Canis lupus familiaris: one gene and its partners. The protein of the gene in region 5 interacts with the protein of the main gene of each other region in a biochemical or structural test. Links are inferred from orthologs where the notes say so. Each region holds a gene or a part of one and is shown on either strand. Other genes may lie near its edges.

Evidence for each region.
Region 1: the proteins of CREBBP (region 5) and NKX2-1 form a complex in vitro, tested with the Homo sapiens proteins (2 studies listed by BioGRID, with this or other methods). The link is inferred for Canis lupus familiaris from reciprocal best matches to the Homo sapiens genes CREBBP and NKX2-1.
Region 2: the proteins of CREBBP (region 5) and KHDRBS1 form a complex in vitro, tested with the Homo sapiens proteins (2 studies listed by BioGRID, with this or other methods). The link is inferred for Canis lupus familiaris from reciprocal best matches to the Homo sapiens genes CREBBP and KHDRBS1.
Region 3: the proteins of CREBBP (region 5) and NCOA6 form a complex in vitro, tested with the Homo sapiens proteins (2 studies listed by BioGRID). The link is inferred for Canis lupus familiaris from reciprocal best matches to the Homo sapiens genes CREBBP and NCOA6.
Region 4: the proteins of CREBBP (region 5) and AIRE interact in far-western blotting, tested with the Homo sapiens proteins (2 studies listed by BioGRID). The link is inferred for Canis lupus familiaris from reciprocal best matches to the Homo sapiens genes CREBBP and AIRE.
Region 6: the proteins of CREBBP (region 5) and FOXO3 are reported together in a solved structure, tested with the Homo sapiens proteins (2 studies listed by BioGRID, with this or other methods). The link is inferred for Canis lupus familiaris from reciprocal best matches to the Homo sapiens genes CREBBP and FOXO3.
Region 7: the proteins of CREBBP (region 5) and TDG form a complex in vitro, tested with the Homo sapiens proteins (2 studies listed by BioGRID, with this or other methods). The link is inferred for Canis lupus familiaris from reciprocal best matches to the Homo sapiens genes CREBBP and TDG.

Annotation. Positions count from the first base shown.
Region 1 is NC_049229.1:15,253,118-15,257,031, forward strand, and holds NKX2-1 (thyroid transcription factor 1), read right to left. Parts: upstream 2,557-3,914; coding exon 2,184-2,556; intron 1,244-2,183; coding exon 501-1,243; downstream 1-500. UniProt on the Homo sapiens protein: Transcription factor that binds and activates the promoter of thyroid specific genes such as thyroglobulin, thyroperoxidase, and thyrotropin receptor. Crucial in the maintenance of the thyroid differentiation phenotype.
Region 2 is NC_049223.1:68,543,617-68,547,789, forward strand, and holds the start of KHDRBS1 (KH domain-containing, RNA-binding, signal transduction-associated protein 1), read right to left. Parts: upstream 2,801-4,173; 5' UTR 2,660-2,800; coding exon 2,278-2,659; intron 1-2,277. UniProt on the Homo sapiens protein: Recruited and tyrosine phosphorylated by several receptor systems, for example the T-cell, leptin and insulin receptors. Once phosphorylated, functions as an adapter protein in signal transduction cascades by binding to SH2 and SH3 domain-containing proteins.
Region 3 is NC_049245.1:24,333,059-24,336,558, forward strand, and holds part of NCOA6 (nuclear receptor coactivator 6), read right to left. Parts: coding exon 658-3,500; intron 1-657. UniProt on the Homo sapiens protein: Nuclear receptor coactivator that directly binds nuclear receptors and stimulates the transcriptional activities in a hormone-dependent fashion. Coactivates expression in an agonist- and AF2-dependent manner.
Region 4 is NC_049252.1:38,039,229-38,042,728, reverse strand, and holds part of AIRE (autoimmune regulator), read right to left. Parts: intron 3,494-3,500; coding exon 3,378-3,493; intron 3,292-3,377; coding exon 3,192-3,291; intron 1,634-3,191; coding exon 1,565-1,633; intron 645-1,564; coding exon 564-644; 3' UTR 1-563. UniProt on the Homo sapiens protein: Transcription factor playing an essential role to promote self-tolerance in the thymus by regulating the expression of a wide array of self-antigens that have the commonality of being tissue-restricted in their expression pattern in the periphery, called tissue restricted antigens (TRA).
Region 5 is NC_049227.1:37,710,934-37,715,170, reverse strand, and holds the start of CREBBP (CREB-binding protein), read right to left. Parts: upstream 2,801-4,237; 5' UTR 2,721-2,800; coding exon 2,636-2,720; intron 1-2,635. UniProt on the Homo sapiens protein: Acetylates histones, giving a specific tag for transcriptional activation. Mediates acetylation of histone H3 at 'Lys-18' and 'Lys-27' (H3K18ac and H3K27ac, respectively).
Region 6 is NC_049233.1:65,900,859-65,905,022, reverse strand, and holds the start of FOXO3 (forkhead box protein O3), read right to left. Parts: upstream 2,801-4,164; 5' UTR 2,786-2,800; coding exon 2,171-2,785; intron 1-2,170. UniProt on the Homo sapiens protein: Transcriptional activator that recognizes and binds to the DNA sequence 5'-[AG]TAAA[TC]A-3' and regulates different processes, such as apoptosis and autophagy.
Region 7 is NC_049236.1:42,804,401-42,807,823, reverse strand, and holds part of TDG (G/T mismatch-specific thymine DNA glycosylase), read right to left. Parts: intron 2,849-3,423; coding exon 2,713-2,848; intron 2,522-2,712; coding exon 2,439-2,521; intron 2,360-2,438; coding exon 2,265-2,359; intron 359-2,264; exon of another isoform or gene 130-358; coding exon 1-129. UniProt on the Homo sapiens protein: DNA glycosylase that plays a key role in active DNA demethylation: specifically recognizes and binds 5-formylcytosine (5fC) and 5-carboxylcytosine (5caC) in the context of CpG sites and mediates their excision through base-excision repair (BER) to install an unmethylated cytosine.

The DNA of each region.
Region 1 (3,914 bases), on a different chromosome or scaffold from region 5:
TAGAGTCTTTCCTCTCCCCAGCCCCCATCTCCCCTTCAAAAGAAATCCTGGTATTTACAAGCGAGTCCGCCTTGCTGGCACAGTGTACCCAGAGTGAAGTTTGCGAGCTTTAAGAGTCCAGAGCCGTATCCTCGTAGAGCCCTCTCCAAACTGCACCCTGCCTGAGCGAGGGAAACCCATTTCAATCACCTAAAAGACACCCCCAGAAGCTGTTTTTGTTATGTCCTTCTCTGTTTAAAGACTCCTTAAAGAGTTGGATTCACTTGGTTGCTTTTGTTTTCTTTTTAAAAAAAATTCCCACAAATTTTAGAAAAAAAAAAAAAAAAAAAAGACGTCCAGCAGTTTGGCTTTTGTGATTTTTTTTTTCCCCCTTGGTCTAAACGGGACAGATTCTTAAGAAAAGTCGAAGCGCAGGGAGCGGCGAGTGGTGGGTGACGTGTGGCCGGCAGGAGGGAAAGCGATGAGGCAGCGCGCTGGGCCCGGCCCGGCCCGGTGTCCTCTCACCAGGTCCGACCATATAGCAAGGTGGAGCAGGACATGGTGCCATAGTCCGAGCCCGAGGAGTTCAGGTGGGACAGGCTGGAGACCTGGCCCTGGAGCGCCGCGGGGCTGGCGGCGTGGTGCGCCAGGTCCGGAGACTGGCCCGCGCTGCCCGGCTGGTGGCCCGGGTGTGCCCCCAGGCCGGGGCCCCCGCTGCCCACCGAGATAGCCGCGGCGGCCGCCTGGGCAGCCTGCGCCTGCTGCTGCGCCTGCTGCTGCGCGTGGCCTTGAAGGCTGCCGGCCCCCGGCGCGGGGGCGCCCGCCTGGCAGGGTTTGCCGTCTTTCACCAGCACCGGCACGGCCACGCGGCGCGGCGACTGCTGCTGCGCCTGCTGCTGCTGCGGGCACCCGGCGCCCCCGCCGCCGCCGCCGCCGCCGCTGTCCTGCTGCAGTTGCTGCTGCGCCGCCTTGTCCTTGGCTTGGCGCTTCATCTTGTAGCGGTGGTTCTGGAACCAGATTTTGACCTGCGTGGGCGTCAGGTGGATCATGCTGGCCAGGTGCTCCCGCTCCGGCGCCGACAGGTACTTCTGTTGCTTGAAGCGTCGCTCCAGCTCGTACACCTGCGCCTGGGAGAAGAGCACCCGGCGCTTCCGGCGCGGTGCGCTTGGCAGCGGGGCCATGTTCTTGCTCACGTCCCCCAGCGAGCCCAGGCCGCCCATGCCGCTCATGTTCATGCCGCTCGCCGGGCCCATGAAGCGGGAGACTGTAAGCGACAAACGCACAGCGTCGGCGGGGGCCGGGCCGGGCCGGGCCACCTCTGCCTTCCGCGCCCTTGGCCGGCCCGGCCCCCGCCGACGGCGCCCTCCTCACCTGGGCCGCCGCGGCCGGGAGCGGCCTACGCACCGCAGACGGCGCCTGCCCCGGGCCGCGCCGTCGAGGGAGTTACTGGCGGGCTCCCCGCCTGCACCCCGACTGCCTCCCTCCATCTCAGCGCTCCAGCCTGCCGGCCAAGGAGAGGGGCCGCTTCTGATCCTTTCTTGCCCAACCCTGGCCAGAGTCGTTGGGCTAGCGGGCCCCGAGCGGCGAACTGGGCCCAGACCAAGAGCCGGGGTCCCACGGTAGACCCCGACTTTTGGAGTTCGGGAGAGTGGGGTGTTCACTTTCAAAGCCTAGAGCCGCCGACGCTTTGCCTCCTGGCCGCTCTCTCCTGTCAGCCCCAGGGAGGGCACTTGTGCCGCCTACTTGGAGCCCCCTCTGAAGCCGCGCACCCTGGCACCTGCCTAGGCTGCAGAGCCGGCCGGGCGGTCCCCGAGCGTGTCTCAGTGGGGCAGCCTCCCGTCCGGCCAGGCCCGCCTCTCGGCTCCCTGCTAGCCCCCGGCTCCCTTAGGCTTGGGGGGGGCGGGCGGGAGGGCGATCCCCCGGCTCCCCGAGGTCTCCTGCGCGGAGCGGAGCCGAGCTGCCAGTCGGCCGCATGGGGAGACGCGGATACTAGCACCTGCCCGCAAGACCCCAAGAGTCCCGCCTGGGACCCCTCAGGCCAGCAGCGGGGGGAACCCCAGCTCCCGCCCCTGCTCCCTGGCGCGGCTGCCGGGCCGCCCGCCGGGACGCCCAGTGCGCAGCCGGAGGCGCGGCGCCCTCGGGGCTGCTCTCCCGGCGCCTCCCGCCCCCAGCCCGCGGCCCGGCGGTGGGGCGGCCTCACTTACTGGCGGGGAAGCGCGGGTCTGGGTTGGCGCCGTACCATCCGGGGCCCGAGGCGCTGTTCCGCATGGTGTCCTGGTAGGGCGGCAGCTCGCTCATGTTGCCCAGGTTGCCGTTGCAGTAGCCCCCCACGGCGGAGTGCGAGAGCTGGGGCACCCCCGCCGCCGTCATGTGGTAGGCGGCGGTGACGGCGCCGTGGTGCCCCACGGCGTGCTGCTGCATGGCCGCGGCCGGCGGAGCCGCCTGGCCCTGCCTGTACGCCGCCAGCGGAGCCCCGAGGCCGCCGCCCTCCATGCCCACTTTCTTGTAGCTTTCCTCCAGGGGACTCAAGATGTCAGACACTGAGAACGGAGTCGTGTGCTTTGGACTCATCGACATGATTCGGCGGCGGCTGGAGGAGGAAGGAAGAGGAGGAAAAAAAAGGGAGAGGGGGAAGGCGAAGCCTCGCTGCTTTTTTTTTCTCCCTTTGCCAAATATTCTGGTGTTACCTTAACGCCGATCTTGTTGGATGTACACGTAACCGAGTGGACCGAGTCCGCCTTAATTGGCTTGAGTGGAGGCTCGGGGGCTGCCTCGCGTTTGTTTTAGCCCGGCGCCAGGTTTTAGGCAGCCACCAGAGGCGGGGCGTAAGCGCTAAAGCAACAAGACAATAGAAGCCTACATCTTGCCCGAGATAATTAGCTTACATGCTGATGACAAGGTAAACACCTTTAAGTTTCACTTGTCAGGATTTTTAAGTCTCAAAAAGGGAGAGAGAGAGAGAGAGAGAGAGAGAGAGAGAGGCAGAGACGCGACCCAAAGCATTTCTTTTCCCCCTCCCCCGGACACCCCCACCCCATTTTTTGTGGGGTGCGGGCGGCGCGCAGGGGGTGGGGGGAGACGGGGGAGGGAAAGGAGGAGGGAACCCAGGGAGGGGAGGGCAAGAGGTGGGGTGAGGAGTAGCCGAGGAGGAGGGATGGTGGGGAGGAAGGAAGGTGAATGCTGCTTTGCAACCAACTTTCCGAGTTACAAAGTGAACCACTTTCCAGTGCAGCCGGGGATCCCGGGCGGGGACAAGTCTTTAGAGGGAGGGGGCCAAGGGACGGGGTAGGGGTTTCACCTGAGCCTGCCGGGGCTGCTCCTCCCTCCCGCCGCGGCCTCCCAGCCCCGCGCCTTCCCACTGCCTCCGGACCACATCGGGCTTCGAGGCGCCGAGCCCCAGTCGCCACCAAACGAGCTCGCGAGTCTGGGGACGAACCCTGGGGCCGCACTGTTGGTCTGCGGGTCTGTCCGTCTGTCTGCCTCTTCTGCCGCCGTCAGAGGGACACCTCTGCTCCCCGCCCCCTTTCCCCCTACCCGAGAGAGAATCCCAGCGGGCGGAGGGGACGCTGAGCAAGGGATCGGCTGCCTCCGAGAGGCTGTCCCAGATCCCCGCGTCCCCCTCCCCCCACCTCAGGGTCTTCTCAGCGGTCCAGGGCCCCCTGCATCACGCCCCCCCCCCCACCCCACACGCGGTTCCCTTTCCCCACCCCCATTCCCGGCCAAGGCAAGCACGCTACTGGCCTCCAGTGCTGGGAAGCTGGGGTGGGGGCTGGGGGGCACTAACCCAGGGCCATTGCTGAAATTGCCCCACCTCGAACAAACCTGGTGTCCCCGACCCTCGCCCATCGCCCGGACACGCGGGGTTCTGGGGCTGGAGCTGACTTTCCGAGGACATCACAGCCCCAGCACCCGAGCCCAGAGCCACGCTGTTTTCC
Region 2 (4,173 bases), on a different chromosome or scaffold from region 5:
AAAAAAAGAAAAGAAAATAACTTGATTAAAATTAAAAAAAAAAACAAAACCCAAGTTAAAAAATATTAAATACTCTCTTGTAACAGAATTTAAGCAGTGAGAGAACAGTGAAAATTTTAAGTAACTTTTCTAAAAAAGATTTTTTTTTCAGTAATCTTTACATCCAAGGTGGGCTCCAACTTACATACAACCCCAAGATCAAAAATCACATGCTCTACCGACTGAGCCAGTCAGGCACCCCTGTAAATAACTTTTTAGGATCAACAGTTTTGTTTTTTTTTAAGATTTTACTTATTTATTCATGAGAAACACAGAGAGAGACAGAAACATAGGCAGAAGGAAAAGCAGGCTCCCTGTGGGGAGCCTGATGTGGGACTCCATTGCAGGACCCTGGGATCACAACCTGAGCCAAAGGCAGATGCTCAATCACTGAGCCACCCAGGTGTCCTCAAGGATCAACAGTTTTTGATGGTTATCCTAAAAAATCACCTTTTACTTAAAAGAAAACACTGTACTAGGCACTTGGTGTGGTCAGAAAGGCAAAAAATACCTTGTTTTCATACTTTACTCAGTACCACGGATTTACAACTATTAGAAAACTGTGGTGACAAATTATTATCTTTATTATTATGGCCAAAGGGAATGGCGCCAGTGCTTTTACATGACACTTAATTCTCTCATCATCCCATTTTCCAGATAAGGTTACCGAGGTTCAGAAAACTTCCCAAGAAGTTTAATTAAGGGTCAGAATTTCAAACCCAAGCCAACACCTTTAAGTTCTAAAGTTTGTTATTCTCACTCATTTAACCTGGACTGCTTAAAGATTAAAGGAAATAAAAATTAGACTACCAAGTCAACCTTTAGCATTTAGCTTGACATTCTTAAGTCTGCATGTAGTTGCTTTCAAACACCTGGTGTTTGCTATATTGCAAGACAACATGAAAAATATAAAGATTAAAAAAAACATCCTGGCCTTCAAAACGACTGCCAGAAGAACACAATGAACAGTAATGTTTCAAACAATCTGACTGTGTTACAGAACAGCAAAACACCCAATTGAAAATGTAAGCGATTTATCCAAATGTTCTTATTTTTTTACCACAGCGAGATTTGTTTATTGCTTTAAAAAAACGAAGACCCCTTACCAATGTAAGGAGATAGAGAACAAAGGGGAGGGAAACGAAATATCGATCAGTCCATTATATCAACCTTGCCAAAGAGTCCAACTACTCATTTAGAGTTGAAGGTTGCAACTTTTTACTTGCTTATAAAATTCAGGTCATATAAGAAATAACTTATTAAAACAACGTTTAAACTGTAAGTGGGGGCAAAACAGACGGCTTTAGACTAGGTGATTAGCCAGTTAGGGCAGGAAAGGAGCGTTAGTCTACTGGCACAGAACAAAGACTACTTTTCAGAATCTATTTCACTATTGAAGCAAAAAGAAATAAAACAGGAAGACCAAGCCTTTCAGGTACAAGCATCTTGCAACTTCCCTCAATTTTTGTCCATCTTATTGAGTGAGGAATGTCCTGCAAACCAACCTTTACCTACTCCGATTCCATTTCACTGTCTCTAGGGCTATTCTTACCCTTATGATGAACACCACCTTATAAAATAAAGGGGTCCATAGCAATGATCATTTTATCGGCCCAAGTCGGAAGTCTGGTTCGGAAAGCCTCAAGATCCGATTCCCACAGGTTGCTCCTGCCTCCGAGCAACTTAAGCTCCTGTTACCGCTAAGTCCGACCCGGCCCCAGAGAACGCGGCGCGCTGGACAGGGCACTCCAGCCTCACCCCATTTCACCCCGGCCCTCCCTCCCACGGTCCCTCCCCGCTCCGGCTGTCTTCACCCCCTACACCCTCAGTAGAGGCGTCTACCGCCACCTGCAATGAAGAAGGCTTTCCCTTTGGGGGTAGGGGGAGATAAAAGGTTCGCTTCTGGAAGGATCTGAATACTCAGAGCGCAGGGCAGCTGCAAAAGGTGGGAGGGGGAAGGGTCGGCAAAGGGGCGGGGAGCGCAGCGCTATCCATCAAGACCTTTGCGCTAAGAGATCACCAAGTCCCCTCTGGGCCTCCACTGCAGCCTCAGAATTCTCCCTCGCACCGAGGGCCGGGATGGGAGCGTGGAATCCAGGCTCCCGGGATGAGGAGGAGAGGAGGGGAGTTCACGATGGCCTCGGCCCCGAGGGGGCGGAAGGCAGGCGGAACAAAGCCACTGCTACCCATGCCCCCGGGGGGCCAGACGACCCAGAGGGACCGGGGAGGCCCGCTTACCTGCCGTCAGTAGCTGCATGGCGTGAGTGAAGGACGGGTCGAGCGAGTCCTTCTCGGCCATGAGTTCGGGCAGGTACTTGTTCTCCGGCTCCATCTTGACGGAGGCAGTGGCTGAGGGGGGCAGCAGCGGGGTCGGCGCCGGACCGCCCACCGTCGCGTCGGGGCCCGTGGCCGAGGGCGGCAGCAGCGGTGGTGGCTGCGTGGCGGGCGAGGCCCGGGCGCCCCCCCGGGATCCCCCTCCGCCTCCCCGCGACCGGTGAGGCAGCGGCGGCTGCCGAGACGGCGCCTGACGCACGGAGGGGTGGGCACCCGAGGGGTCCATGGAGCCGCTGCGGCCCGAGGACCGGCTCATGCGCGCGGCGGGGTCGTCCCGGCGCTGCATCGGGGCGGATGTGCGATCGAGGGATCGAGGAAGCGACGCGGCAGCGGCAGAGGCCCGAGCGGCGGTTGGCGGGGGTGGGAGAGCGGGAGCGACAGCGACCGAAGCCGACCCGAGCGACCCAGCGAAAGAGAGCACCGGAAATGAGGCGGCGCGCGTGCGCAGCCAGCCACCGGCACCGCCCTTGGGTCTCTCCGCGGAGAACAAAGTCTCCAGTCGGGCCACGGCGCCTGCGCACCGCCGCGGAGCCCGAAGAAGTCGCCTCCCCGCTCCCCTTTTCCCTCCGAGCCCGCCAGGCCAGAGTCTTGTGCGCGTGCGCGAGTGGCCGCGGGCTTCGTTCGTTTTCTCTTCCACGTGACTCGGCGCTAGCGGGACACGTGTCTCCTCCCCCTCTGGCCGGGTGCGCGAAGGGGCGGGGGCTGTGGAATGTCTTTGTCTGCGCGCGGGCCCGCGGAGTGTGGGGCGGGAGACCTGTTACTCGCGGGGCCACGCCCCCGCCAACGGCTGAGCGGCGGAGGGGGGCTGCGCCCAGTGGGGTTCCGGGTGGGAGTGAAGTGGGGTGGATATGGGGTGGGTAGAGGGGGTCCCTGAAGTGTAGAAAGGAACAGAGTCCGGCGCGGGGGGTCGCTGGAGGGCGGTCTGGGTCGGAAGAGAGGAGAGCGACTGCCTGAACCGGGGGGGGGGGGGGGGGGGGGAGGTACAGGACTCGGGGGAACTAGGAGAGAAGAAGGGACGACTGAAAGAGTCTGCTTCGGGGATGCGAGGTGGAGTTGGGGAAGGGACGCTTGCAGGGAGAAACTGAGGAAGGACGGGCCAGGGACTCGAACGAAGAGGGAAGGTTTAGATTGGAGGCCTGAAGTCTAGCGAGGAAAAGGGCGCCCGATGGGAGCAGGAACCTCAGAAGTCCTATCCCATGATTTCCAATATAGTAGGCTCTAAAAGGTGAGCCATTGTTGGTCTGAGAAGTCGTCTTAAAAGACGAAGACGAAGCATTTTAGCTCCTTATACAGTGCTGCTTTCTGCTGACTTTAGTGTTTTCTTCCGCAAAAAAAGTGAGGAAGAGGTCAGGTCCTTAATCCGTGATGGTTACTTATACCACTAGGATGGCTCCTTCTACTGATGCGAGTGTTAATCCCCCTGCCGCTGTTGGACTCTTCACAATGGATCATTCCAGACTTGCTCAGAAAGAGCATTACCACTGCTCTCCAGGCCAGGGCATATAGTGGACAGTCTCCCACAACAGTCTCCTCATCTTGGGGGTGCTATATGCAAATGAGCCCAGGTCTCTACTTCCAGAATTCTCAGAAACCTGGTGCTTTCCCTAACCTTTCTTTCCCTCCACAGATTTGTGTTTCCCCCATCCAAAGCACTCCCTTTTCCTTTTGGATCAGTTCCCCTAGTAAGCCCATGCTTTTCAAAACCATTTCTGGACATTGTCTTTTGTGTGGCTGGAAACTTAATTGTTGGCTCTGAAACTTAGAAGCCTTCAAACTAGGGAAGATTTAAGGTCTGGCTAC
Region 3 (3,500 bases), on a different chromosome or scaffold from region 5:
GAGCTGGTAGATGCTGGTGCTGTGATGTTAACTCAAGCCTGCCTGTCTCTCAACCACTTTGTGTCTCTTGTGTCTATTACCATGAGACCTGGGTTTTTGAAAAGCTTTCCTCTGGAGTAGCCAGTCAGAAGGGAATAGTCCCTTCTGATAGAGTACAATGAGAAGGGGCCATGAGAACCCTGCTCTGAAACTGTGGAGAACAAGTCAATATTGCAGTAAGGGGAACTTGCAAAAACAGCTATTCACCTTTAAGGGACAATGTTAAACTGGAGGTTCACAGTATAGACTGTGAAAATACTGAACTCTGAGCTGCAATCTTCTCACCCACAGAATGGGGTTAGGGCTACCTGACGTAGTTGGTATGAAGATGACACGAGATAACATATATAAAGATGCTTTTTTGTAAAATGAAAAACTTTATATAAATGAAAGGCCTATCACTTCAGGAGCTGAGAGAGAACCGTATTAATGAATGTAAACTTAACATAGGCTTTAAAGTTGTATTTCCCAATGTACTTCCAATAAATTAAACTACCACTATTGCTATTTAGCTCACTTTTCCTCCTCCAAGTAGAAAAGAAAAAAAAGGCTTTCTTTTGTGGAATAGGTCATCAAAAAACTGACACGAGGAGATGATGCCAGGCCCCAAGTACATACCTATGCTGGGCAGAAGCTCTGGATGGGATCCCACCTTCTCCTCCACTAGGCCACCCACAAGTGGCTCAGGTGCTATGCCAACATGATTGTTTTTTGTGGCCGGCGCAGCGGAGATGAGCTCAGAGGGTACCAGAGTGGTTACTATCGAGCGTACACTGGTGGGGAGAGTACCGCCAGGTAAGCTGGGTCCTGTTGAGGTGGAGCCTGGGCCCACAGGGCTAGAGGTCATTTTTAGCAGAGTGGGTGCTGGGGGTGTTGGGGTTTTACTGTCCAGCTCTGTGGGTAACTGCTCTGTTCCCATGAGCCCTGGAGTTGTAGTCTCTAGCCCTTGGCCTTCGGTCTCTCCATCTGCACCATATTGCTCTTCCCCTTTCTCAAGAGAGCCTGTAACTTTCTTACATGCCTTGGTCAGCAAAATCTGGCCGATTTTGTCCACTTTTCCTTTGCCCTTACTAGATGAGACTGGGCTTCGCCGGTTGACAGAGGAGCCTGGACTATTGGTCAAAAGGGGAGAAACCATTGTGGTTGACTGTGAAGAGGGCAGAGTGCTCTGATCTGCTGAGGTGCTCACCTGAGGACTAGCCTCATCTGGATTCAATTCTTTCACTTGCTGGACAGGGGGATGAGGAGGGACAACTGGAGAAGTTGTACAAGGAGGGGAAGGAAGCTGAACAGGGGTGGCTCGTGAGTTAAGGACTAAGGGTCGACCAGTCTGTATATTTGGAGCAGTACTACTGGAGGGGACATTAGGCGGTACAGGAGCAGAAGAAAACTTTATGTTCTGAGGTATGTGTAAAGGGCCAACAACTGCAACAGAGGGAGGCATCAAGCCAGAGTTGGTTGTCAGTGGGGCTGCAGGAATTGTACTTGGCTGTGATCCTTTCATAACCTGAATTATTGAGGATGAATTGATAAAGACAGGTGTAATGAACTGAGGCCGGGCATTAGACTGAGCAGCTGACTGTCCCTCAGAAACCATAACCTTGCTACCCACATTGGGCATTGTGACAACTGTTGACATCAGTGCAGACTGCAGGTGAGTTGGCAGAGCTGCTGATGTGTTAGCTGAAGTTGTGATAGGATTGGAAGTTACAAAAACAGTTATCTGATTTGGGGGCAAGGGGGTGGAGATGGAGGAAGAGCTGACAGGTCTTGACATTACTGGAGGGATGCTTGGTGCAACATTAGAACTGACCTCACTCAATTCTGGATGCATAAGGGTTGAACACGGCTCATTAGTGTGAGGTAAATTTAGGGAATTAGAGGGTTCTTTAGAAGACGGATCCTGCAGTGTGGGAATGACAGATGCTTTTTTCAGGTCCTCCCCAGAAACTACTGGGGGTGTTACTTCCAGATCTGTAAGCCCAGGGGGTTTAATGGTCACGTTAGGAGCTCCAGAGTTGTCAAGAAGTTGACTTAATGATGTCGGTGCTTCCCTCATAGCAGGAGACACCAAATTTTTGTTCTCTTCAACACTGGGAAGTTTGTTAGGATCCATAGGTTGCCCATCCTTTTTAGACTGATCTTCAGGGACAACCATTTTAACTTCTTGGGTAGGGACTGTTTTGAGCTCAATGTTTACCTGCTCCTTCCTACCCTGGGAATTCTGGCAATCGCTGTCCTGAGGCACATTCAAGCTCTCCTTGTTATCCTCGAGAACACCCCCCACTGCAGCCACAGGCATGGTAGGATTCTGAGGATTCAGCCCACTGTTGTTAGGAAAGCTCCCAGGTACAGAGGGATTGGCCAAAGGAGTGGGACTGACCAATACGTTTCTTGGCAACTCCACGTTTTGCAACAGGGTTGTGTTTGTCTGAGAGGCCAGAGTAAGTTTAGGGGTTTTTGAATTCTGTCTCCCAGGACTTGGGGTGGTTTTCCTACTGGACCCAGGACTAGACCTGCGACTGTTGCTTGGGCTAGCCCGTTTTGTTGCTCCAGAATTAGACTGCTTTCCAGAATTCACCACCACAGAATCTAATTTGTGAGTTTGTGGGGCAGCAAAATTGGAAGGATTATTCATGGTAAGATTTGAAGGTGCTTGCCCAATGGCCTTTAAAGTTGTTGGGTTCAGGCCCTGCTGATCAAAGCCCCTGTTTAAATTTGGCCTAGGAGGTAAAGGAATATTAATCTGTGGGGGAAAGAGTCCTGCTATGGAGGCATTGAGTCTTTCTGGTGATAGACTGATCTCTGAAGGTTCTGTGCTGGGAGGGCGATTGTTGGGTGTCTGAGGATAGTAGGGCCTGGGGCTGGCTCTGTTTGGTGTTTTAGGCCTAGATGTTTGGGTTGGAGCAGCCACATTTGGAAAATGGTGGCCATGGGAGCTGGGCAAGGAATTTACAGGGGGTTGCTGGGGAGTTGCACCTTGAGTTGCTGAAAGGGGCGATGGTCCGGGTTTTGGCCCTGTCATCATTAACTGATTCTGGGAAACTACTAAATGTGAAGGCATGTTGTTTGGGCCTCCTGAGACAGATGGTACTTCACTGCCACTCGCTTCAGGGAGTGAGGACATCTCTCCCAGTGGTGAGCTAGAAGGATTCTGGGGATTCTCCTGGTATACCATTTTCCTTGAATTGCTTCCCAAAGGAGTATTCAAAGGCATTGGCATTCTTTGTTTATCAGGTGATGGTGGCACGGAAGCAGGTCCTTGTAAACTGACCATGACAGGCACATTGCCACTCTGCTGCATGGGCATTCTCTGGGAGTCTGGGTTCAGGGGGCCTCGTGGGGGGTGGACATTTTGGGAGACTGGAAGCCTAACTGATTTGGGGTCTTGCTGCATCATGAGCATCATCATCATCTGTTGCTGCTGCTGCTGCTGCTGCTGCTGCTGTTGAGACTGTGGC
Region 4 (3,500 bases), on a different chromosome or scaffold from region 5:
GCTGTGCCGCCTGGCCGGGGAGCCCACGAAGCTGTGTGGCCCACGGCGTGGTCGGATGGAGGGGGTCAGGGCCTCAGGGGCTCAAGTCCCCAGGAGGAGGAGCCTGAGTGTAAGGGGGGGACCCAGGCTGGGCCCTCCCGTTACGGCGAGCTCCCTTCCCGCCGGCGCGGCCTACCCTTCAGGCACCAGAAATGCGGGGGAGCCCAGAGCCGCCTGAGCAAACACACCCCACAGGACAGCATGTCGAGACCCCACAGGAGGAGCTTTTTATTTGAGGACACGCGATGCCTAGTGTGTCCACGAGCACGGGCCGTGCCGACGAGCTGAGCGTGGACGCCACCCGGACCTTCCAGGTTTCCTGGGTCCTAACCTGGCCAGGTCCCAGTGGGGGGGGGAGTGTGTCCCCCGGCCCCTCCCGCAGCAGGTCACCGTGAGCACGAGCGGGAACGCACCGGCATCCGTGGATCCCGAGGCAGGAGGGGGTCCGCTCTCTCTCGGCTGAGGCGGCATCTGGGGGGCCTCCCCTCCCCTAGCGCTGCCCCGCAGACCCCCGGCCTCCTGGCTCAGGAGGGGAAGGGGGGCGCCTCGGCCAGCGGCCGGGACATGCTCTGGATGGCCCACTGCAGGATGCCGTCGAAGGAGTGCTGCAAGACAGCAGAGCGGAGCCTCGCACCTGCCAAGGCTCCAGGGCACACTGGGCACGCCCTGGCCGCCGGGGCCGGCGGGAGTCATAAGCATCTGACCCTCCTTTTCAGAGGTAGGGAAACTGAGGCCTGAGGCACCGCAAGACATGGACTCCTCACGCAGTGCTCCATCACAGCATCCCGGGGGCACAGGGCACGGCCTCCTCGCCCCAGGGCTGCGAGGCAGGGCCAGCTCCTGCCCTCACTGTGCTCAGGGCCCTGGCACCCCACAGGATGGGGGAGTCACGAGGAGGCCCCATATTCCAGCAGGATGGGGTGCCTGCACCCCCGAGGGGGCTGGGGAGTCTTCCCCCCCTTTCTCCAACGGTCTTGGGCGGCCGCCCCCGCCACAGCTCCAGGGCCCTCACCCAGCACCTGGGGTCCCCCCCAAAATCCCCGCACTGTCTCGGACCCTCCTGTGCCCAGCCCAGCACACAGGGAGGGGCCCCACGGCCCGCGGACACCACGTGTCAGCCTCCTGGGTGTGGGGATGGCTGGAGGAGTCTGACCTCCCGTCGAAGAGAGATGGAACCCCTGAAAGCCCCAGTTCCTTCCCAGCCAGTGTAGCTGTTCACCGAAGGGAGAAGAGCCTGGGTTGATGAGGGCAGTGAGAGGTCCGGGGCACCCGCCCGCCCTGCCCCGAGGTTGTGCAGCCCCCCAGCCCCCCAGGATCCAGGCCCTCGGAACCGGATCCCCTCTAGGGTCCCCTCTAGGCCCCTCTAGGCCCCTTGGTGTGCTCGGGCTCCTGCATGCGTCTGAAGCAGCCTGGCCTGTGGTGCTTGGCACAGCTGGGGTGGGGGGGCACCTCCCAGCCCCCCAGAGCCTTTAGGGGGTTGTAGAGGAGGAGGTGCAGGCGGAGGCCCAGCCTGGAGGTGCATTACCTCGTTTAGGAGGGACTCCAGGTCGTCTCTGTGTAGAACCGGCTCGTGCCCAGAGGAGCCGTCACCTGCCTGGAGCCCAGGAGAGGAGGGTCAGCCCAATCTCAGCACCCCTGCTAGGGAACCCCGAAACAGAGCAGGACTCCCTGCAGAGGCCACAGGGGCCTGGGGCACAGGCGCTCATGCCAGGGCAGTGCGGTGGCACTCCTCCCAGGGTGCTGGGCACAGGCAGGGTGCACATGAGCGAGTGTGGGCTGCCCGCAAGGGCCCTGGCACCGCTGGCAGCTGGTTGCCCGAGGCCCCCAGGCCCGCCAGCCTCCACCTGCTACACGCAGCCTTCCGGGGAGAGCCGGGCAACTCAGAGAACCAGCTCGAAGGGAGCCTGTCATGGGTGGAGAAACAGGCCCCGAGAGGGAAGTCCCTGGTCCGATGCCAGCCACTCAACCACCCCACAAAGGCTGCCAGGGCCCACGGCGCCCCTGGGGAGGGGGCCAGAGCAGGGCATGAGCCACAGGAGACTGGCACGAAAGAGCCGAGTCTCAGCTCATAAACACAGGCCCTGGGAGGCCACAGCACCCAGGCAGTGAGGGAGGAGCACAGCCTCGGGGTGTGCAGGGCACCCAGGAAGGGATGGGGCCACACCCACATTCTCCCGTAGGGAGTGGGGCTGCGGGAGGGGCTGAGGGGCTGGCATGTGCTCCTCTCCAAGGTCACTGCGCGCTCCACCTCAAGGACAAGAAAGGAGTCTGCGTTTAAGAGCAAAGAGCCCAGGTGTCCGTGAAGAAGCGTCTTCTGGAGGGAAGGACCCCTCCTGGTGGGGGAGCAGGGGTCCCCCTGAGAGGGCTTGAGCACGGGCAGTGCGGAGGGGCGGGGTGATGGGAGGCTTCCACGCTGCAGCAGGCAGGTGCGGGCCAAGCCTTGGGGTTGCCGGTGAGCCCCCTCATGGGCAGGGCCTTGGCCCCCCCCAAGCCGGGTTCCTGCTCAGAGCGCTGGGGGGTGCCGTGTGGCTGGGAAGGAGGATGGGCCACGGATGGGGGTGGGACTCCTTGCCTCCCCCAGGGCCTCAGAGGTTCTTCTGGGGGCAGGGACCCGGTCGGGAAGGCCTGGGGAAGAGGGTGCCACCCGGAGGCTCCTGAAGGGACACACAGGACTCCCACCCCCCAAGTTCTGAGGGAGCCCCAGGAGGACTGCCACTCAGCAGGAAGGCAGACAAAGACCGCAGCGAGCCAGCTGTCCCCAGGGGCTCCCGCTGGCTCCCGGGCGGTCACTGCTGGAGGACCAGGAGCCCAGGTGGGGTCACACTGGGCGTCACGCGCGCTTGCTCATCCCTGCTGGGCGCCTTCTCGCCGCCACCCCTCCAGGGGCAGGTGCACCCCAGGGGCTGGGAGAGGGGGCACTGAGGGCGGGGCCGGGTCACCAGGGAACAGGTGCATCCCACTGCCATCTCATGCCACCAATGCTTGTAGCTGGCTCTCCCTTCCAGGTAGACGTTATCTCGAAGGCGGCTATTTACACACACAACCCACGGCCCGGGGCATGTTCACCCCCGCGAAGCTGGCACGGGAGCGTCCCTGGAGGTGTGCCGGCCGCTCCAGCCCCCGGGGTCCCCACCTCCCCGGGCAGCACTGACCTTGGCAGGCCCCGGCGCAGCACGGGCAGGGGTCGAGGCGGGCGCCCCGTCGCCGGGGGCCGGGCCCGCGTCCCCGGAGCAGGAGCGGCAGCGAGGGGCCCTGTGCACAGCGGAGGAGGGGGTCGGGCTGGCGGCCCGCGGTGACCCCTGCCGGCCCTGTGCCCCCCTCCCCGCCGCCGCACTCACCCTGGCCGGGGGGCGCCCCCGGGGAAGTGGCAGCGCCAGTGGAAGGCGGCGGCGCAGTGCGTGCACCGCAGCACATCGGAGCCGTCCCCGCACACGCCGCACCGCGCCGCCGGGCCCTGCGGG
Region 5 (4,237 bases):
TACTAGACTGCAAGTGCCCTGCGGGGAGCACCCTGGCTTGTGAGCTAGCTACCCAATGTCAGGAGTACTATTCTCTCCACCCAATGTCAGTCCCTTAGACTCACGCAACGGACACGATGGCTCCCCAGGCCAGTCCCTACAGACATGTGCTGCATGGTAGCAGTCCAAATCCCTCGTTTCTCAGGCCACCAGGCTGCCTCCTGCTCCTCCTAACCTCTCAGCTCTTCCCATGTACAGAACTCCCTTCAAATTCTATTATCACGGAAAAAGAAAACGCGCTTTGCTCCACCTGGCTCCATTTTTCTTCCAGGAGCCTCAAAAACACATCCCCTCACTTAAACGAGGTTGAGTCTCTCCCTACTTTCCCACCTACCCCAATGCCTTCACTCCTTTGATTGGACGTAATGTGATTCCTAGAGTCCTTTATTTGTTCAATATATATCCTTAGGATCTCTGTCTCAGACTACTGGTTACAGAAGACAAGGTTGTACCTCCTTTAATTTGCTCGATGACGATCCTTCCTTGGCCCCCGCACTGATAGACTCTGGCCAATAATGTGACGTGATGAAAACGTAACCAAGGTGACTTGACATAAGTATAATCATGAATTTTATTATTTAAATCAGAGCTATTAAAAATTTGTGTTCCCCATTTGGAAAAGAGTGAGCCCTCATGCTTTAGGAGGATCAACGTTGGAAAAGAAAGGGGAGAAAAAGTAGCCAAGAGGGAAAAATCCTTTCCGAAAAAATTTGTTGTGATTTAGCAGCGCATCAAGTAAATATCTGACCATCCATTAACAGAACTACCCAAAAAGGCCATTCTCTAGGCTCCACCTTGTTAACAGCTGAATGTATATATTCGGAAAACCCTTTCTGTTAAGTCTTGTGTTAGTAATTTATCCCTCTATAGAAAACACAATCTGCAATAGCCTCATTTGACAAGAGCAAAGCTGCAAAGCCATTCAAAAAGTTACCAGTTTCAGAAGACAAACTTCAAAGCTGAACTTGCCTGGTATGATCTATGTTTCATATGATTAAAGACTTTTCACTCAAACATAGCAAGATTAATGAAGCAAAAGAGATCTGTTCTATAGTAAAAGGGCATCTAAGTCATGGCTGTTTCCACATTTCTTACTTCAGACAAGCTGATTTGACAAAATAAACATCACACTCCACTCTATCAATTACAAAAAAGTATTAGTGACTTTTTGCCCCATGAGACTTATTTACTCCCCCCCCACCGTTTAACAAATTGTATTTAAACTAGATAAGAATCTCATGATATTTTAAAATATCCTTTCTCTCACACCTACATTACTATCCTTGAAATTGTATTAAAACCGAAGCCACAAAACCCAAGTAGTTTTGTTTCAACAGGAGAAACAGATTTTTTTAGACCATTAGTAGAAATATGCCAGTGGCCACAGAAATATTTGCACAAGCTGAACAGCTGTGTCTACTGCAAATCTGAAGGCATCGCTGCAGCAATATAATTCAATTTGGACCCATTCATTATAAACTGATTTTCAGATGCTGCTACTACCAAGACCGTACTGGAGAAATGCAGGCTGCGCTGGAGACAGAACTGTTCGCAGCGGTGCACAAGTTTTTACTGCAAAGGAGAGGTCTGAAAGAGGAAATACAACTCGATCATAATGCTACCGTGAACCAGCTCAGAAGAGCCCAGAGTTATTAAACGAATAGAAACTAAAATACTTAGGCAACTGATGGGATTACTTCACAAAGTTTTCATGGATGCTGTTTGAAAGAACGCTTCATTTAATACCTGGCTAAAAAAAAAAAAAAATTTTTTTTTGGAGGGGGTGGTGGTGGTGGGTGGGACCTGCGATTCCTACATTCCTTAACATAATTTTCTTTAATACACCCACAGTGTAAAAGCCCCACCAACTCAAGCCGGAGGATGTAGCCCGAAAGGATCTGCTGTACCTAAACTTTCTTTTAAGGTCATGCCTCTGAAGTTAAACACAGCACAGCAACTTGGATGACATCTTGCTAACCGAGTTGGGGCTGGTGCAAACGGAACGGCCTTGGGTAGACCCAACAACCAGAGTTTTTTCAAGACAAACTGCGAAAAGCATCTTCCCAAGGACCGCATCCCAAGAAACTTCCAAAGTCCCAACTCCCAGGTCGGCTGCTGCTACGAGCGAGCTGTGTGTGTGGAGCGTGTGTCCTGATCCGGATCGCAGCGCTGCGAATCGTGCTACCAGCTCAGAAAAGACTTTGGGTCGTCCCCCCACCCCCACCCCCGCTTCGCTGCACTTTTCCCCTCCGTCACCGGGAAGCCCACCCTCCGCTGTCAGCCCTCCAGGCAGCCCCGCGTGAGCCGACGCACGGCCGCACAGGGAGGCGCGCGGAACCGCCACGAAGCCCGGCGCGCTCCGCTCCCCTTGTGCTCCCCGCAGGTACCGCTCGCCTTCCGCGCGCGGAGGGCTCCCCAACTCCGGGGCTGGCCCCCCGCTCGGGGCCCCGGCGCCGTCCGGCCACAAACTTCCCCCTCGGCCCGGGCCGGCGGGGCCCCGGGCAGCGGCCGCGCGGGCTGGCGCCTCGGGGCGGGTCCCCCCGGCGCTAACCTGCGGGCTGGGCCCCCGCCCCCCGCCCGGGCCCCCCCTCCTCACCTGTGCTGTCATTCGCCGAGAAGCCGGGCGAGCTGAGTTTGGCTCGTTTGGGGTTGGGCGGTCCGTCCAGCAAGTTCTCGGCCATTTTCACCTGCTCGCGGAAACAGCCCCGAGCGCGGGCGGCCGGGCCGGCAAGAGCTCCGGGGCGGGGGTCGGCGCCGGCCCCGGCCGGCTGCGAGGGGAGAGCAGCGAGCGCGAGCCGCGAGCGAGCGCCGAGGGAGAGGGAGGGCGCAGGCCGGGTGGGGGAGGCGGCGGCCAAATCTCAGCCACAGCAACAGCGCCCCGCAGCGCTCACCGCCCGCCCCCGGCCGCCGCCGCCGCCGCCGCCGGCCGCGGCCCCCTCATCCCCTGCCCGCCTCCCGAGCGCGACACTCCGCGGCGGGGGCGCCCCGGCGGCCCGGCCGCCCCCCCGGGCCCGGCTGGCAGCGACGGCGCCCGGCCGGGCGGCTCAGGCAGTCCCCGGGAACATGGTGCCGCCGCCGCCGCCGCGCCGCCGCCTCGCTCCCCCCCCCCCCCCGCGCCCCACTTAATTAATTCGCTCGCGGCCCGACGACCGGGGGGCTCCGGGCTCCGCTCCCCGCCCGCGGCCCGCCGCCGCCGCCGCCGCCGTGAGGAAAAACAATGCGCGAAGCGGGGCCGCCGCCGCCGCCGCCGCGGCCCCCCCCACCCCCCGTTCCGCCGCCGCCGCCGCCGCCGCCGCCGCCTGCCGCCGCCGCCGCCGCCGCCGCGGCTCCGGGAGGCCGAGCCGAGAGGCGAGCGGGGCCGCCGGAGCGGGCACCGAGGGCCGGGCGGAGCGGGCCGGCCGGGCGGAGCGGGGGTGCGCGGGCGGTTGTGGGGCCCGGGACCGGCGGGGGCCGAGTAGATCGCGCTCGAAGCCCCGGTCGGGTCCGCGACAAGATGGCGGCTGTTGATTCCTCAATTAAAAAAAAAAGAAAGTTTTTTTTCTTCTCTTTCCAGAGCCTGAACGGGGAGGGGGAGGGGGCGGGGCACGCCGGTGCGTCACCCCCCCCGCGGCGTCACCACGCACGGCCCCCGCCCCGCCCCCTCCACCTGCGCCGTTCGCGGCGGAAAGAGCCGAGCGCGCTCGGGCGGAAGGGGCCGAAGGCGCGGCCGGCGTGCGTGGGGCGGCGGGGCTGCCCCGGCGGCGCAGCGGCCGCGCCTGTGGGACGCCCCGCGCCCCGCGCGGCAGCCACTTTTGTTCTGCTGGCCGCTGGGCGGCTAGGGCCAGGGCTGCGGCCTGGCGGCGAGCGGGGCCCCCGGGCGTGGAGTCGGCGCCGGCCGGGCCCGCCCGTCCCGCTGGGCGACTCTGCCCGGTCCCCGGTTCCTCGCGTCCCTGCCCGCGACCGTCTCCCGGTTGACCGGGCCTGGCCGCCTCCCCTCACCGGTTGCCAGCGACGCATCGGGGCTCCCGCAGGTTGCAGACCGTCCGCGAGTGTGTGCAGAGGGGGAAACTGAGGCAGGAGGGGGCAGGATCGGGACTCGAGCCCCCCCCCCCCAACTGGAGTGCGGGGGACGCAAGATGCCCTGTTCCCCCAGCCCGATGCGTCGGGGCTGCCTGCGCGACGGCCTCACCTGCACGGGAGGTGGTGGGTGCGACCTCCC
Region 6 (4,164 bases), on a different chromosome or scaffold from region 5:
ATCTCTACTGGAAGTCCTGCAAGCTACATGAAAATATAACTGAGTTACGTTTCAAGGCGACTTTTGATAATACTACTTTCTCACCTAGATGTTAAAGAAAAAAGTTATTTAACTCTAAATACAATAACAAGAGATGTTATTTGCAAGATTATGAACTACTCGCATACACTTAAAAATCAGAGGGAAAGTGAAAACCCTTCCAACATTAACTTTATAAGTTAAAAGTTAGCTAACTTTTAACTAGCAGTTCTCTGCAGCAAACTCAAAATATACAGGACTAATTTCAAGCTGAGAAATTTGAAAAATATTCCAAACCCCTATATCCATTTTCTTAGATCCTGCAACTCCCCCCTTTCTGATGCTGTACCTTGAGATTAACCCTTGCTATTCACTTTGAAACTCTGTTTTAAAAGATATCACAGTAGCACTTCCTCGAAATGCTATTCACTCTCAAGCTTTCTGTAAATGGCCCTCATATCACACAACTGGCATTCCTTTGCAAAGCTGTAAAATTAGAGCAAATGTAAGATTCATAATGTCAGCATTTGTTAAAGGAAAGGGGACAGATATGTGGAATAATTTTAAAGCACAGTTTTGCTTTTAAAGTATCTCAGCAAGTCCTCTCCAATACTAGCCAATATGAAATTAAAAAAAAAAAAAAACAGATACTTTGTAAGGGTTTTGTTTTGGGTTTTTTTTTTTTAAGGAAATGAAGACAATACACAAAATTCTTTAGTTTTTTCACATATAGGTTCCTCTCCAGTGCTCCACCAAGATTAAACTATTCTTACTGAATACACCTACTGGAACCCAAGAAGATACAGGGCTCCCCAAAGACAGTAAGGAAAGGACAAAATGAGGAAGGAACTACCTCATTAATTAAAAAAAAAAAAAGCTAACTTGCAAAGAGAAGCAACTGATAAGCCATATGTATCTCCAACTGCAAGCACCCTTCTGCCTGGTACTGACACATTCACGTCTTGGGGAAAGAGGCCAGGAGGATGAGGTGCCAGGAAGAGCAAAGCAGCTGGGTATCAGCAGCCCAGCAGGGGCACAGGAGTTAATCTGTTTGGATGCCCAACTGCAGGAAGTCATTACATCATAGGCCTTTCCACACCTCTCTCCTACCACGTGTCCAGTGCCCCGAGAGGCTGAAAAGGAACAGTAGAGAGCCTCTCTTCTGGCTCATTTATAGGCAGAAGCCATTATGACCCAGCCCCGCCACCACACCTCCCTCCCAAAGGCCTAGGTGAAGCTCCAGGCCTCAGCCCTCCACACCTGGACCGGGCCTCAAACAGCGCCGGAGTCCAGGCCTCGGCGGGAGCAGCAGGTGTGGCCAGTCCTTCAGGTGGCAGGGCTGGCCCGCTCCGGGACTCGAAACATCCCAAGTTGGGGGGCGGGGGGGGGGGGACAGATTTACTGCAGAAACATCTCTAAGGAGTAAAGGTGTCCACACAGGCAACCAAAAGAAAGAAAGAAAAAGAAAGGCAGCCAGGGGAAAAAAAAAAAAAAAAAAAAAAAGGTTTGCAACCACTGCTTTTTTTAATGGGATCGCTGTGCCTGCGGGAACCAACACCCACAAGCCAGAAACTTCGACGCAAGGGGTTTTTTTTTTCTCATGCAGCTCTAACGACGACGACCATGCACTGCAAAGCACAAATCCATCCCCTTCCCCGGAGGAGCCCCAAGCACTCCCCCACGTCCTCTCACTGCACCCGCGGGGCCTTCCCCGCATCCCCACGACGGTGATTCCTGCTTCGAAGTTGGCCGCAGACCTACCTCCTCCGTGCCGTCCCGGGGATCCAGCAAAGGCTCTGCCGTCCGCCGGTCCTTCCCTCGCCGGCATCCCTTGCCCCCTCTCCTCCTCCTCCTCCTCCTCCTCCTCCTCCTCCTCACCTGGCCATGCCCGAGGCCTCCCCGGGGTGGGGGGGCGCCTCCTTTCCCGCCCCACCCTCCGCGGCCGACCCCAGGTTCCCCTCCTCCGGGGAGGGGAGGGGAGGGGAGGGGAGGGGAGGGGGGTCGCACGGGTTCCCCCGAAACCTCACAGCGGAGGCGCTCGCTGCCAACCCCTCTCCCGGCGCCCGCGGGCGCGCTCCGCGGGATGCAGGCGCGCGTCGCCCTGCGCAGGAGGCCCGGCGGGTCCGGCCGCCCGCCCGGGGTGGGTACGCACCTTCCACCCCGCCGAGCTGTTGCTGTCGCCCTTATCCTTGAAGTAGGGCACGCAGCGCACCATCCACTCGTAGATCTGGGACAGAGTGAGCCGTTTGTCGGGCGAGCTCTCGATGGCGCGAGTGATGAGGTCGGCGTAGGACAGGTTGCCCCAGGCGTTGCGCCGCGACGAGCACTTCCTCGGCTGCCCCGAGCCCCCGGCCGCCCCCGGCTGCGGCGGGGCCAGCGCCTGCGGAGGCTGCGGCGGCGCCTGGGTCCCCCCGCTCGGCGCGCCCGCCGCGGGGCCCGGCGCGGCCCCGGGGTCCTGCCCCCCGGGAGCCCGCAGCCGGGCCGCGTCTTCGAGGAGCAGCCCGGAGCCCAGCGCGCCGCCCCCGCCGCCGCCGAGCGCCATGGCCGAGCCGGCCCTACCGCCGTCCTCGTCGTCGTCGTCGTCGTCCTCTTCGGGGATCATCGAGTCGGCGGCCGTCTCCCCCGAGGGCTTGGCCGGGCTCCCCTGCAGCTCCGGCCTCTGCAGGGGCCACGTACAGGAGCGCGGCCGGCTCTGGGGCTCGAACTCGGGGTCCAGCTCCACTTCGAGCGGGGAGAGCGGGCCCGGGGAGGCCGGCGCCTCTGCCATCTTCCCCGCCCGCCCGCCCGCCCGCGGCTCGGGCTCTCGGGCTCTCGGGCTCTCGGGCTCTCGCGCTCCGCTCTCGCGCCGGGGCGGGGTGCGGCGGGGGAGGCCCGGGGGCGCCGCGGAGGCTCGGGCTCCCGGGAGCCGCTGCCGCTCCTGCCGCCGCCTGGGGAAGCACGGAGGAGAGAGTTGGTTACCCGCGCGGCAGCCCAGCCCTCGGCCACCCCGCGCCCGCCGCCGCCGCCGCCGCCGCCGCCGCCGCCTCCCGGAGACAGGCAGACCTGGAGACGTGCGTCCCGCGGACCTGGCGCAGCAGACACCGCCCCCTGCCAGGCCGCGGGGAGCCGGGAGCGAATGGACGCGCTCGCGCGGGGCCGCCGGCTCGGCAGGTCTCTCCCGGGCGAGGTGGCGGGGCGGGGAGGAGGGGGAGGGGCGGGGCGGGGGAGGGGCGCGGGCCGCGCCTTTAAAGCGGGCAGCGGCCGGGGCTGGCGCAGCCGAGCCGCGGTCGGAGCCGGGGCGGGCGTGCGTTTGTTTATGTTTCGCTCGGGCCCCGCGCGGGTGCTTCCCGCGGCGCCTTCCGCTCCGCCCCGCGCCCCGCGCCCCGCGCCCGCCGCCCCCGCGCCCCCGTGGACTCCGCTCTCCGCGCCCAGGGGCCAGGGGCCCGGGCTCCGGGGGGCGGCGCGGGGCCAGGAGGACGAACGTGGGTCCGGGCGCGGACGGGCTCTTGTCACTTCCAGAAAAGAAAAAAAAAAAAAAAAGACCAGACGGGAAGCGAGGAGGGGAGGATCGGGGGTGGGGGTAGGGGCGGGGCGGGGCGGGGGGCAAGCAGCTCGGCGGGTGTTTGCAAAGGGTCGAGCCAAGCGGGAACGACCACTTTGGGGTTTTGTGTGCTTCGGTTTGCGGGCGGGCGTTGGACCCCGCACCCCCCCACCCACCCCCCTTCCCGGGAAAGGGCAGGGGGAGGGGGCGAGTCGGAACGTAAATCTTCCAACAGGTCAGGAAGCGCCAAGTCTCCCGGGCTGCCAGAAAACCCGGACCCGCACGTTCATCACCTCCTTGCTCCCGCTGCTGCCATCTTGACAGTTTTCCCCCCTTCACTCAAGTCCTTTAAAAACAGCAGCGGGAGGGAAAGGGGGGCGCGCACACCGAGTCACGGGGAGGGAAAAGGGAAGCGCCTGGCCCGGCTCGGAAGCAGATCCGGAGTCACCGGGAAGGCGACCGCCCCGCTGCACAGCTCCGGCGCCTACCTCGGTTGCTTCCCTTCAGGGACGAGGGGGGAGGACGCACGACTCCGCGCGGGCCCGGGGCGCGGCGAGGAGGGGGCGCGCAACCCCGGCCACCGAGAGGCGCTCCGGCCGCCGCCGCCGCAGCCCGCCCGAGGACCC
Region 7 (3,423 bases), on a different chromosome or scaffold from region 5:
ATCTGTATTTCGTTCAATGCCTTTCAATTGATCTCTTAAGTCTTTCAGCTTAATGTAGTAATGAACTTTGTCCTGGGCCCGAGGAAACTGAGCACATCTTGCACTGGATGATGGCATAACATAGCAGAGCTGGAATCATAAAATTTTACAGTTACATAAATCTTCCAAGTCTACTGAATCCACTCACATAGAGATTAAAAAACTCATACATTTTTTGGTTAAAAATGATGCTCATCACACATTAATATATGCAAATCAATACAAGTAATTGTGTCTGAGCTCAAATTCGTAAAATTTACTTACTACAAAGTCAATAAATAAAAAATGAAGAGGCTTCCCCCTCATGTTCATTTACCAATCATCTTGTCTTTTTAATAGTAAACACATGGTTCACAATTCTAAAGGTGCTAGAAGGCAAAGAGGTATATACACTGAGAATCTTCCCTCCCAGTTCTGTCTCTACCAGTTCTCTTCCCAGGGCAATCACAGTTGCTGGCTCCGGATGTATTCTATGAATATACGACCAAATGTATCTCACATATGTACTCTCCCACACCCTTTTTAAATACACACGAATGGTCACATGCTCTCTATTTCCTGTTCTACATTCCTGCTTTTTGACTCAAAAGCATTATCAGAGAGAATTCTGTCAAATAGCTAAGGAGAAAGACATTTGCATTTATTATTTGGGATAATGGTGACAAACTGTCCTTCATAGAACAGAAAATATATAATACTATATATCACATACATATCAAAGACTGAGGCTGCTCGATTATGGAACTTCTAGTTGCAATTTCTTGCAATTTTTATATTGTCCTCCATAACATTCCATAAAACAAACTTTTTCGTTTGTTTATAAAGCATTTAGAAACTCCTGACTCCTAAAGATATGTAGGTATAAATACTACCAGGTTTTGTAATTACTCATTTTCCCATCCCAAGACATTCTTCAATTAAAATGATGCAGAAATTTGAAAAAAAATTTTGTTTCAAAGCTGAATCACTAACATCATCAGTAACTGCAAATATTTCATAACAAAGAATAAACTAAAACACACAGCACTCCCAAGGTCACTATAGGAGCTAACACTACCTGTCATGATATTATCCAATACTTAGTACTGCACTATTATGGTCACCTACATTCAAGGCGTGTAGCCAAGCCTCATCTGGCTCCTACGGGACAATAAAGCAGTATCTATAGAAGGCAATGAACTCAGCTGCACCAACTTTACCAAAGTAGACAAGTGTAGGCCTCGGTTTTATTATTATTATTATTATTATTTTTTAAAGATTTTATTTATTTATTCATTAGAGAAAGGGGGGCAGCAAAGACACAGGCAGAGGGAGAAGCAGGCTCCATGCAGGGAGCCTGATGTGGTACTCGATCCCGGGACTCCAGGATCACACCCTGGGCCGAAGGCAGGCACTAAAGCGCTGAGCCATCCAGGGATCCCTAGGCCTCGGTTTTAAGAAAGACCACTTACTTTATCAAGCATATATTTACTTAGAAGAAATTTAAAAAGGAGAAGTTCAAATGTATGGAGATGACAGAAACTTTATTCTGAGCTCTCCACAAAACCCTGTCAGCACATGGGCTTCTCCATTATTTAAAATGTTGTCTAGAACACATGGGTCTGTGCATGTATGTTGTTTTTTAAAAAGTTGTAAACAAAACTACATTAAGAAGCAAATTTAAACCTAATGTCTGCAGAAGCTCTGCAGAAATGACAGTTTGAAACCCACTGTTATTCACGACGCCTTTGTGGACACGGCGGCACCAGTAAACAGTACCGGGTGCCAGTCAGGCTAGCTGGATGTCTGTCTGCAACCGAGCTGCATACTATTCATACAGCTCTAGAATGAAATTGGGCTAAGATACACCAGCAGAGGGTAATGAGCAGTTTTACTCATCAGGAGCATGTCTATATTTACATGTTTGTTTCATACTGAAAAAGGACTAACCTACCTGAATTTGCTAATAAAAATATGCCATTAAATTTATTTTCAACTCCTCCCAGTAGTTTAGCCAAATAACATCAGTAAGACATTTTAACCAAAAAAAAAGTTTATTTTTTAAAATAGTTCCTGAATTAATTTGCAACAATTAGTTTCAGTTGACATGTAACTATTACTAAACAAAATACAGTGTTTTTAGAATGGCATGAATTACAATGGATAGGACAAATAAAAAAGGGAAACTAGCTAGAAAAAAAATTCGTATTTAGCTGATTGTTACAAGAATCACTTTAAGTACTTACGGTTTCTGTGTCTGGGATCTTATGGGGTTGAAGTCCAAATTCTAAGTTTTTAACCTTAACTCCAAAAACTTCTTTACTAAAAATTTCATAAATACCTAAAATGAAATACAAACATACTTACATTGCCCATAATGTTAGCAAATAAAAAAGATAAAATTTAAAAGTAAATCTTACATTTTCCATTAAACACTGCTATTCGTGGCTGATATTTCTGTAATTTCTGCACTAGAATACGTCCTCCTTCACGAAATTCTTTACTAAAATTGAATTAAAAAGTAGTCAAAATATAAGTATGGCAATATTAATACGCTAAATTCAGATAGCTTTGAATAAAAGATCTATTCATGTATTTGTTAAGCTCAGCCTCAAATAGGTACATTTAGCATTCTTAGAGTATATGAGGCATCGGCATGATCAGGTTCCAACCTATAAAAATAAATGTAATTACCTGGAAAGATCTTTGCTGCCTGGTGTTGTCCTTTCCACCATATTGGTAAATCCAATACCATACTTTCCTGGTAAAGTGTGATCATCCATATGGTTCAGCTGGACCTCACTCAGGCCTGACATGAACAGACACTTCCCTGTGAAAATGACAGTTCAGTTTATTTCCAGTAAGTCAAAGATTTTTGCCCCATGGATCGACACAGTAGTCTACATTTTACCCTGAAATTACAAGAAAAAAATTTAGGATACTTAAAAAATTACAGATAAATACCATATATCAAGCAATTACTATGTGCTAAGCCCTCTGTGTGGATTATCTCATTTAATGATAATGATCTTCTAAGACATTAATTACCATTTTTATCTCCTTTTCACAGGGCAGATTAATAGCTATCAGAAGTACACTGCTACTCAGCGTAGGAAACTGAAAATCTTTGTTTCCCTTCTAAAAATTTGTGATACTACCCCCTGCCCTCAGAATATCGCAAACAGATAAAAACATACACCAAGAGACCCAGAACATTCAAATGTCCTGATGATGGAAGAAATGAAAAGTTCAAACTGGGATGCCTGGGTGGCTCAGTGTGGATTTGGCTCAGGTCGTGATCCTGGGGTCCTGGGATTGGGCTCCCCACAGGGAGCCTGCTTTTCCCTCTGCCTGGGTCTCTGCCTCTCCCTGTATCTCTCATGAATAAATAAAATCTTAAAAAAA